2 linked regions of the Solanum lycopersicum genome follow. The protein of the gene in region 1 binds, or shares a complex with, the protein of each later gene. Links are inferred from orthologs where the notes say so. Each region holds a gene or a part of one and is shown on either strand. Other genes may lie near its edges.

The links.
Region 2: the proteins of NAGK (region 1) and PIIGLB1 are in contact, whole or in part, in a crystal structure (PDB 2RD5), measured with the Arabidopsis thaliana proteins. The link is inferred for Solanum lycopersicum from reciprocal best matches to the Arabidopsis thaliana genes NAGK and GLB1. Residues at the interface, in NP_191315.1 of Arabidopsis thaliana: Arg195, Glu208, Val209, Ala210, Arg211, Val212, Glu251, Ala254, Ala255, Ile286, Lys287, Lys290, Ile310, Arg311, Ala314, Gln315, Gly316, Gly347; in NP_192099.1 of Arabidopsis thaliana: Arg82, Trp84, Arg85, Gln88, Arg118, His119, Gly120, Gly121, Ser122, Glu123, Glu153, Thr157, Glu159.

The regions. Positions count from the first base shown.
Region 1 is NC_090810.1:1,052,242-1,057,650, reverse strand, and holds NAGK (acetylglutamate kinase), read right to left. Parts: upstream 3,422-5,409; 5' UTR 3,313-3,421; intron 1,405-3,312; 5' UTR 1,291-1,404; coding exon 247-1,290; 3' UTR 7-246; downstream 1-6. Other genes in the region: protein NODULATION SIGNALING PATHWAY 2-like, read right to left, coding at 5,331-5,409. UniProt on the Arabidopsis thaliana protein: Involved in the arginine biosynthetic pathway via the intermediate compound ornithine.
Region 2 is NC_090805.1:3,347,548-3,352,923, forward strand, and holds the start of PIIGLB1 (PII-like protein), read left to right. Parts: upstream 1-1,779; 5' UTR 1,780-1,892; coding exon 1,893-2,082; intron 2,083-2,194; coding exon 2,195-2,240; intron 2,241-2,342; coding exon 2,343-2,370; intron 2,371-3,215; coding exon 3,216-3,303; intron 3,304-3,409; coding exon 3,410-3,477; intron 3,478-3,685; coding exon 3,686-3,755; intron 3,756-4,947; coding exon 4,948-4,983; intron 4,984-5,128; coding exon 5,129-5,202; 3' UTR 5,203-5,376. UniProt on the Arabidopsis thaliana protein: Participates in sensing carbon and organic nitrogen status and regulates some steps of primary carbon and nitrogen metabolism.

The DNA.
Region 1 (5,409 bases):
GGAAAATTTTCACAAAGTGACTAGATCCTTATTCATACAAGAAAAACCATTAGGATGGGACCATTATCAAACAGAATACAACAGAAAGCCAGACAAAAGTTTCAGTCTGTCTAGCAAAATTTTGTAGCAGAGTGACAACATATTGATAAGAGAGAACCATTAAGGTTCTAGAGCTTTGAGAAAGCTTATCTAGCTAAACCATTTTAAACTTACTAAAATAGTTGATCAACTCGCAATAGTGTTTATCTAGCCAGTGATCATTGTTCCAGCCCCTTCATCAGTGAGAATCTCAAGAAGTAAGGAATGCTGCAGCCTTCCATCGATAATACTTGCAGTCTTCACCCCTTGAGCTAAAGACCTGACACAACAATTCACCTTGGGGATCATCCCACCGGCAATCTTGCCATCATCTGTCATCTTCTTCACTCCTTTTATGTCGATCTGCTTCACCAAACTCCCAGGATCATTACGGTCTTCTAGAATTCCAGCCACATCTGTCAACAAGAGTAGCTTTTCAGCTCCAAGAGCGGCTGCCAACTCACCTGCTGCTGTGTCTGCATTAATATTGTAGGATTGACCCGTCTTATCAGCTGCAACAGATGCGATCACTGGGATATGGTAATTGTCAATGAGAGGCCGCAGTACACTAGGGTCCACACTAGCAATGTCCCCAACAAAACCAAGTTGTTCAGAGTTGGGGGAAGGACGTGCAGTTAAAAGGTGGCCGTCAATTCCTGATAACCCCACTGCAGTTGCCCCAGCCTTGTTAATCAAGGAAACCAAATGTTTGTTGACTTTACCCACCAAGACCATTGATACAATCTCCATGGTTGAGGCATCAGTGACACGAAGGCCATTCAAAAAGTTGGGTTTGATACCCAATTTACCTAGCCATTGGTTGATTTCAGGACCACCCCCGTGGACAAAGACAATGCGCATACCAACACAAGAAAGAAGGACAAGATCAGCAATAACAGACGCCTGAAGTGCCTCAGATTTCATAGCAGCTCCTCCATATTTCACTACAATAGTCTTGCCTCGAAATTTTTGAATAAATGGTAGTGCTTCAGAAAGGATTTTCACTCGGGTTGCTCCCGGGTAAGATTGAACATCAGGTGCAATGACGGATTCCAAGGAAGTTTTGAGGCATGAGGCCTGAAAAGGGTTGCTAAGAATGTTTCGATTGGCTTTGATAGCTGGAATGGATTTTGGAAAAATGAGACTGGAATCTGGAGAGTTGGAGACTTTGCTAACTGGGGAAGAGAGTGAGAAGGTTTTAGCAGCCAACATCCTCTATTCCTTTACTTCCTCCCCTTCTCTATTGAGTCTAAATAGCAGGGGAAGTGTAACACTATAAGTTCTTAAAGACCGTTCGTTTAATGGGGGTCAATGCATCAAAGAAACCTGCAACCAGAATAAGCCATCAGTTAGCACTTGAACCTCAAAAGTATCCCACATAAGAAACATACACTTGAATACCAGCATATCTGAGATAGCCCCAAAACATAATTGGGAAGAAATAATCAAATTAGAGACATAAGATACTTGAATAAAATTCAAAAAGTACCAATGAAACCCTCTGGGTTCATCAATAAGAGCAAAGTTTCTTAATTGTTACTAAGTTATAAAAAGAAAAGTAACATAAACAAACTAAAACAGAGGGAGCACAAATAAATAAGCAACTAGTACTAACTCAATAGATTAAAACAACTCATATTGTAATTCAAAATTCACAACAAGACCTGTCATATACTGGCTAAATCGGTCTCTAATTGGCATTTCATCAAACAAGTAATAGCAGTAGAATCAGAGACATTTCATACAATAAAACTGAACATATAACTGTCAATCAGAAACTTAAACAATCCATTCAAATACATTAAAATTCCCTTATCTATATTTGGCGATTAGGCGCAAATCCCTAAAAATAAATTCCAGAAGAAGAAGAAGACATTTAATTGAACCAAATCTAAAAGGGATCTCACTAACAATTACTAGGATCATGTATTCTTCGGATTTTTTAAAATTGTCGATGGGTACGTGTTTGATCCTTCAATGGTAATGTTATCTTAGAAGATGCGACATGGATATAATAACATTTTTGAAAAGTCCGTACAACTAGTGTCGGTGTCATTTGTCTCCAAAACCATCTAAATTCTCCTTCCTCAAAAATCTTCATATTCAGTTTATGAAATTCTCTTGGGGAACTGACGCATTTAAAATGGTCGGTGCACCAGTTCCCTTATCCCTACAGAGAGTATCATCTGATGACCCTTACCTCGAGTTTATGTGGTTTACTCAAGTACTCTTAAGTCATTTGCCTGGACAAAAGTATTTTTTATGCGTTAGCATGTCTTAAGAATGTTGGTGCTATCTTATGAGTAATGTGAATCAAAGTTTCTTATCGAAGTAGTTCAATGTTGAATTTTTAGGTGATATACATTTTAACCATTTAGTTTAATCTTAATTTCTTACACCTTATGCTTTGTTGTGGAATAGGGAAGGAAGACGGGAAAAGAGAAAGGTATAGTTGAATGTAAGATATGTAATGGAGAAAGTAATCTAAAGAAGGTGATTGGGAAAGATGTAAAAGAGAACTTTTTGTTTCTTGTTTGGTTAAAAGAAGTTAACAACATAGTAGGAAAGGAGATCCATTCTCTTTTCAGAAACAAGGGGGGAGTTATGAGTAAGAGTATTAGATTGTTCTTCTTTCGAACTCTCTAAATATTGGTTTAAGGGTGGTGTTCATGCCAGTTTGGGTGCACCTTGACTCATCTACCAAACAGCTTGCTACAACCCACAAATGCGTCCAAGCATGTTTCTTCTCTACAAGTGTCGAGCTCATCGAATTTTGGGACTGAAAACAGTTTTTGGCTTCATTTGTTTCCAAATTGCAATAGCGGGCATATTTGTTGAAACAATAGTTCACAAGAATGACAAAAGAAGGTAACTTTGAGCAAATCCCCTTCACCTACCTCTACTGCCCAAGCTATACATACCATAACTGATTATGTTTTCCAAGCTTATTATCCTCGAAACTCGAACAAAGAAGCTACTAACCCAATAGATTAAAACAACTCATATGTAATTCAAAATTCACAACAGAACTTAGCATATACTGGCTTAATCAGTCTCTAATTGGCATTTTATCAAACAGGTCATAGCAATAGAACCAGAGACATTTCATATAATTAAAACTGAACATATATCAGTTCAAATACATTGAAATCCGCATATCTATATTTAACGATTAGGCGCAAATCCCTAAAAATAACTTTCAGAAGAATCAAGACAATTATCCTGTTAATGTACCTGGAAACAGTGTGTGCTCGGCAGTGAGAGAGAGAGGAGGAGGAGGCGGCGGCCGGTAGCTCAATTTTCTCCGATGGACAGATTTTATTATTCGCAAGTAGTAGTAGGTGGTGTATAAAATTATTAGAAAAAGAGATAAATGAGAAACATGTGGGAAAAATATATACAAAATAGTCCTTCATGTTTAAAAAGTTGTCCAATAATTTTCCTATTTTATAAAATATGTACTACACAAAAAATATGGCATATATATAGCACATGAGAAATAATTATGTAACAAATAAACACCAAATACCCACCTAACTAGGAATAAAGACATTCTTTCTAACTCCTTTATATATAAAAAATATATATCACGATACACACCACACAATTTTAATGAAGAAGTCGAGCGATCTCGAGATGTAATATGTATATACATAAAAAGAAGGAAAAAATTGTACAAAATAGCAAACTAATAACCTAAATTAAATAGAATAACTAGGGTTTGATTTAATTGTGCTCCATAGCAAACATTATCTAAAGTTTGCCAGCGTCTCTCTCCCAGGAATCTCGCTCGCCTCTCTCGCTTTATACACAGAAGTGTATAATTCTGTTTCTGTTTTGTATAAAGCGAGAGAAAATTGTATATACACATGCAAAAATGTATATCTTCGTGTTATACACTTAATTATACAATATACAAACATTTTACTTCAAAAATTGCAGAGAAAAAGGCCAATGAATTATACAATTGCGAATTATACAATTGCAGTGAAATACAATTTTCTCTAGCTTTATACAACAGAAGTGTATATATTGTGTTTCTGTTTTTGTATAAAGTGAGAAAAACATATATCTTTTTGCTATAAACTTATAATTATGCAATATACATACATTTTAATTCGATTCAACTATATGCAAAACAAATTATACAATTGCAACGAAATAGGCCAGTGAATTATATAATTTAGGCCAGCGAATTGTACACTTGTATATGTATAGCGAATTATACAGTTTTTATGTTTGCTATGGAGCGCAATTATGCAAAGTTTGCTATATTATACAAATATAAATTTTTTGTTTGCTATATGTGAAAGTTGCCCTAAAAAGAAATAATCTATCTACCCGATATAACTTTTTGAAGAAAAAGTGTCCGCATTTAACTGATTTTATGTATACATACGTAGTGATACATATGTGTGTGATATATCTGTGCACTTCGCAGTTAGCCCGTTTAGCTTTCTCCAAGATGAGGATCCTATTGGCCCAGCCCATGTTTTAAATGAACTAAGCCCATCAAATTTTAGCCCAATGTGGATCAATAAAATCCTGTTAATCATGATTTAAGTGGTAAATGTTTATATTCAAACTACATTTTTTTGTAATTATTGATTTAAGGGAAACATCCAAGTTCTTGTTGAATTAATTTTATTTAGACCTTAAAATTTTAATATGACAATTGTTGCTCAGTTGTACATGAGATAATAACAAGTTAAAAATGAAGAGGAATCGGATCTTCGTAACACACCTCATGAATGGTAGATACATGTAAGCAAATAAACAGTAGTATAAAGGATGTGTGCGGTATAGAGAAAAATATTTTATAATTCTCGCATGTTTAATTAGTAAAAAGAAATTAAAATTACTTTCTCCATTTGTTGTTTATTATCTTGCGACCATACTTCGAATAGTACTTCTCTTTTGAGTCGAAGGATTATCAATCGGAAACAATCTTTCTGCTCTACAAAGGTAAGAGATAAGATGTGCATTGTCTCACCGTCTCCAATTTCCAACTCATGAATTTCACAAGATTTATTTTTGTTATTATTGTATTTTTTTTTCAAGTAAAAATAAGAAAAATAAATTGAAATGTGCTAACAACCCACTAAGAAATAATGAAAGAAATACAATCTCATTTACTCAACCTTTCCCAAAACTAAAACTTCACTATATTTACATTGTAATATTTCAATAACCTCCAAATCTAATTAATTCCCATGAAATATAATGTTCCAAAATTTATATTACAAATTTTTTTAAAAAGATATTGAGCTTGAAGGACTAGAAGTTGATGATATAGGAACCCAAATGGAAGCACTTGTCAAAGGCCTTGAT
Region 2 (5,376 bases), on another chromosome or scaffold:
GTCAGAATAAGGATAAGCTGAACCATGAATCCAATATCTTATTAGCCCTTATCAGGGCTTTCCGAATGATTTGTCCCAACCAACGACACGATCCAATCATGCTCTAGCGGCACAGTTATGAAATTTGAGTTATCAAAATTCTTATCCAACTCGATGCTCATTGGTATTTCCAAAATTATGTAATAATGCTCAATAATTGTAGATGTCCCAGTTAAGGAAAATGTTCCACTTTGCTAAGACTCTCTATGTTGAGTTAATACTCAAAAATGTTTCTTTGTAACTGACAGATGCTTTTAAAAATTATGCTTTATGCGAACTCACTTCACCTCCTCGAAATTAAAATATGCTCTCTTTACGGCTAATTATGTTTTTCTTTCCGAAAATAATGCATTTGAAACAAATACATGCTCTTGAAGCTCTTCCAAAATAATGCTTTAAAATTTGAAATTTAATTTACTCATGAAAACAATGCATAAGAAATCAATATGATAATGACTTCAATAACTCTTACCAACTAAAGGGTACAATGCATAAGAAATCAATATGATAATGGCTTCAATAACTTTTACCAACTAAAGGGTTTATGTAGCATATTAAGTATGAATCAACAATCAAAGATCATTAATAAAATGTGAAGAAATGAAATTTCTATATAACAAAGTTAAATTCTACAATAAGAATATAGAGTAAATTCGAAAATTATTGATCATAGAGTAAAAACCTTACTTTGATGTTACAGATTAAAACAAAAGATGTAGGACACGAGGAATGATTTACTTCCTCATAAATGACGATCTTACCTATCTTAACGTTTAATATATCCTGGCAAAGAATCCTAACATGAAAAAGAGTAATCAAGTAACATTTTCTTGAGATTCTTGAGCTCTCTTCTTGAAAATCTTGTGACCAAAGATTAAATTTTTTTATCAATAATTCATGAATAGATGGAGGAATTTGAGTTGGAAAGCTTGAATTCCACGAGAAAAGACTTAACTTTGGTGGACGAGGATGACAGGAAGAAACCAGTTTTAGGGCTCGAAAGAATGGTAAAAAATGAGGAAAATTGAGCTAAAATCGACTTAAATAATTTTCTATCATCCAACAACATTTCAACCGGTGAAACGGCTACACAACATTGTTCAAAGCCAAAAAACATATGTTCAAAATAGAAAATCTCTTAAATCTTACTCAACTAGTTCTAGACCGGCATTTTGTTGGTTTAGAATTGTTCATCGCCGACGAAACGCATCTTTAAAATAGAATATGTGATGAAAATAAAATGATAATAACTTTTGACTAAATCTGGATGGCGGTTGAAAGAACACTCATAAGTCTTTAACTTGATAAGTAATAGAACATCTAACTCTTCATATGCCGATAAATATGGTCATTTGACGTTAACTCTTGCCTGAACAGATGTGCAAACTTAGTCGGAAGGAAAACTATTAAAACTTAGTCTAAACCACTGTTGATTCACCTTTCACACTTAGGAATGGACTTTAAAACGCTTGTATACTTAATTATGACGAATGATTTATATCCTTAGAGTTGAATTACGAGGTGTTCGCAATCTCAAACAGTTAAGAATCCATCATTCAATTTTCACTAAATCATTAATCCATTATTTATAAATTAATATTATTTTTTCAATTTCAATTATTAATTTCGATTCAATTTTAAACCGTTTTTAAACAAGACTTATTTTTTCTTTTTTAGAAGTATCACTTTAATCATTTTCCTTTTGTACTTGTACATTTTTTCCATCGATAATAACAAGAGAAAAGGTAAAGAATCCAAATTATTCAGAAATGGCGTTACTTCACTTCACTTCACTATTTTTAAGGCCATAGAACTCATCGATTATCAGCTCTCTCTTCTGCAACTCAACGCCAATGGCTTCTCCCTCACTTTCAAAATCCAATTTCTCCCTTCACTCCTTCTCTTCTTCTCCATCCTTGTCACAGTTCCCTCATTTCACTTCCATCACCGTTGTTCAACCCAAATTCTTCCCTTCGCAGCTCACCTTCAAACGCTGTCAAAATGCTCCTTCTTTCCCGATTATCAGAGCCCAAAACTCTCCAGGTTTCAATTTTGCTTAAACCCCACTTCATAAGTTCACTTATTTAGTAACGGGTCAATGTTTTTTTCTTCTTTTGTTGCTTATAGAAGTAATGGGTCGGTTTTGTGTTTTCAGATTTCGTCCCTGATGCGAAGTTTTACAAAGTTGAAGCAATTCTAAGGTGATAGCATCATTTTTCTTTACTAATGTATTCTAATCTGCTTTCTATACTCTGTTTACTGATTCAATTTTGCGTCTTCTGCAAATTTTGGAATGGACTTAGACCTTGGAGAATTCAACAGGTTTCTTCGGTAAGAACTTGATTATTTTCATATGCATGCGCCAGTTTTTAGAAAAAAAAAATTGAATCTTTTCCTTTTGTGATCCTTAAGGTTGCAGGCCTATATGATTGCTTAAATTGAGGCTCTTTATTGAACTTTTTTGGGTTTCTTTTTACTCAACCCCTATTTTGCATTCTATGACATCATAGTAAAGCCTATATATTGTGGAAAATACTTTTACAGCACAGCTTTAATCTCAGTGGTGATCAAAGTTGTAAAGAGCCAAAGGGTTAATTGAAATGCTGCTAGCTTGCTCTACTGATAAGTTTGAATTTCACCTTGGTTCTTTCTTGTTATACAGTCTTATATCTCCATAGATCTTAATATGTGTATACCTTTTTCTTTGCTATATTGTCATATAATTACCCTATGGATAATCCTTTTGATAGGACAGTATTGAGTTGCTATTAAGCTTTCAGAAACAATTTCTTATTTTTTGATACTAAGAAGTATTGTCATGGATAAGTTGAAAAAAGTTTGAGGGTAAACGGACTTTAGATCAGGATGTCCTAATAATATCTAGCACGGAAGGCACACTAAGGGGTTCGATATATTGAATTTAGAGGTTGGAGTGAAATGAGGTAAAACGCCCCAGGCGTCATCCACACACATTCATACAAAAGAAAAAAAAATATTCCTCCTGAAACACTACAACATTTAACAATATGGTGAAGTGAAGCCCAGATTCTGTGATGACTATTGAACTCCATTTCACAACTAGATTGAAGGGAGCCATTTTCTGTAGATATTTCAAAACATCTAATGTTTGAAGCTAAAAGGCTCCATTATTTACTCATGTTTTCTGAATTATGAAGGCACTACTGAAAATGGGCATTCGTGGTGTCACTGTTTCGGATGTTCGTGGTTTTGGCGCCCAAGGTGGCTTGACTGAGAGGCAAGCTGGTATGGAAATATTCATCAATTTTAAGTGTTTATTTACATTGTCTTGAATATTTCTCGATTAAAAAGAGATTCTTCCTTGGGTTTTGAAGTTATCTGCTGCTTTCAGGCTCTGAATTCTCTGAAGACACGTTTGTTGCAAAAGTTAAAATGGAAATTGTTGTCAGCAAAGACCAGGTTTTGAATTTAATAGGCCTTGACCAAGCTTTCTGTGAGCTATCATTTAAAATCATGTGTTAGAAGTATATGATTATAGAAGTATATGGTTAAGGTGTCATTTATCTCTCCTATGTATATAGAAGTTTTATCTAAGTGGTGCTCCTTGCGATATGATTGTGCTTTTTAGATGTTAGTTCTGATATAACCTGTAATGCTGTCTTATTAGGTTGAAGGAGTCATTGCCAAGATAATTGAAGAGGCAAGAACTGGTGAAATAGGTGATGGAAAGATATTCTGTAAGTTTTTCTCTTCATGATCTTGGAGTTTTTGATGTAATATCTCTAACCAAGCTTGAAAGCATTCAGTTAATGTTTCCTCAATGAGTATGCTGTATATTTTCATATGATGATTCATGACATATCTTCTGTACAGGGTAAGGTGTAACACATAAATCATAATCTATTAATCTTTAATTTACTGTGTTGTTTCCAAGCAAATGTTTGCCTGAGTAATCTAAGTGTGTTGCACATGAAGTGGGAAAACCAATGCCAGCCAGCCTTTTAATACGTGCTTGCAATGACAATCCATATATGTATACGAGAAGAAACAAATAGAGATACTATCCCAAAATTTTAAAATAAGATAAAAAGCTGTAGGAATTTCAAACTTTTTGATCTTTTTACCTTCTATTTTATCAGACAAGAAAATCCATCAGTGACATTGTTCACAATAGTTTAATTGAAGCCCAAATTTGTTGAGCTCTCCTTTGCTTTGATGCTTATTTTCTTAAATATTTAAACGTCTTGTGAGAAAACATGATTCCAGTTCTAGCTTATAAAGATACATACATTTATAATTTATCGACACACACACACTCTTCAATGTTTTCCTCTCAAGGCCTTTTATTTTGTGAGTATGTTTCTCATGTTAGAAGCCTATCTTTGATCTTAATTTCATTTATTCTACCAAAATGTCGAGCCAAGCCTGGAGTGGATCATCACACAGGTTGTCTGATGCTACAAGAGCTTATTGTGTGCTCAAGTTAATGGCCATATTTGTATTAGCAAGTGGTTTGTTAATGGACATATTTTTTTCTTTAGTATTAAAACTAAAAAAGATACAGGTATGTATTCAGAAGAAATTTATTGAAGAGCATAAAACACAGTTTCCAGTGGTAATTAGTTCACATGTATGTATTTGGGAGGGATCCTTTACTTTTGGCCAAGCCTCTATTTTGCAAGGGATCTCTTGGGTAATATTAGCGCAATCACATTACATAGTTTTGATCTTGCTAACGTTTAAGCATGACATGTTTTTCCTTGCAAAGAAAATCTTAAACGAGTGAAAGAGACCCTGAAGTTTCAAAGTGGCTGTTAAAGTTGGGCCATCTATTGGCTGTTAAATGATGTGCTAGACATTATTGTCTTTATGAAAATATTACAAAATGTACTGAATTGTTGATGCTGTTTTTTTTAAAAACTTTGGCAGTGACTCCCATCTCCGATGTTATAAGAGTTCGCACTGGTAAGTAGAATGTTTTGCTTAATGATACTCCATTTGTATTTATAAGTTAGATAGTCTCCGTAGGTTGATTAATCATTTAAATTTCATATCCTTCATAGAGGTTTGAACTTGTCCCTTGTAATGATTCTATGGTATGCTGGAACAGGTGAACGGGGAGAAAAGGCAGAGAGGATGATGGGAGGGCATGCTGATATGTCCTCTGCATTATCAACTTCTTGAGCGGCAACGCCTCTATCTTGAAGTTGAAACGTTTAATCATCTTTAGTTGTGTGCAGTCAAGTAGGGAACAAAATAAATAAGTTGGAGACTTACCATGTACCTGTGGTTTCAGTAGCCAATTTCCATAAAAATCGTAGCTTAACAGCCATTTCGTATATGCACACTTCAGCTCAA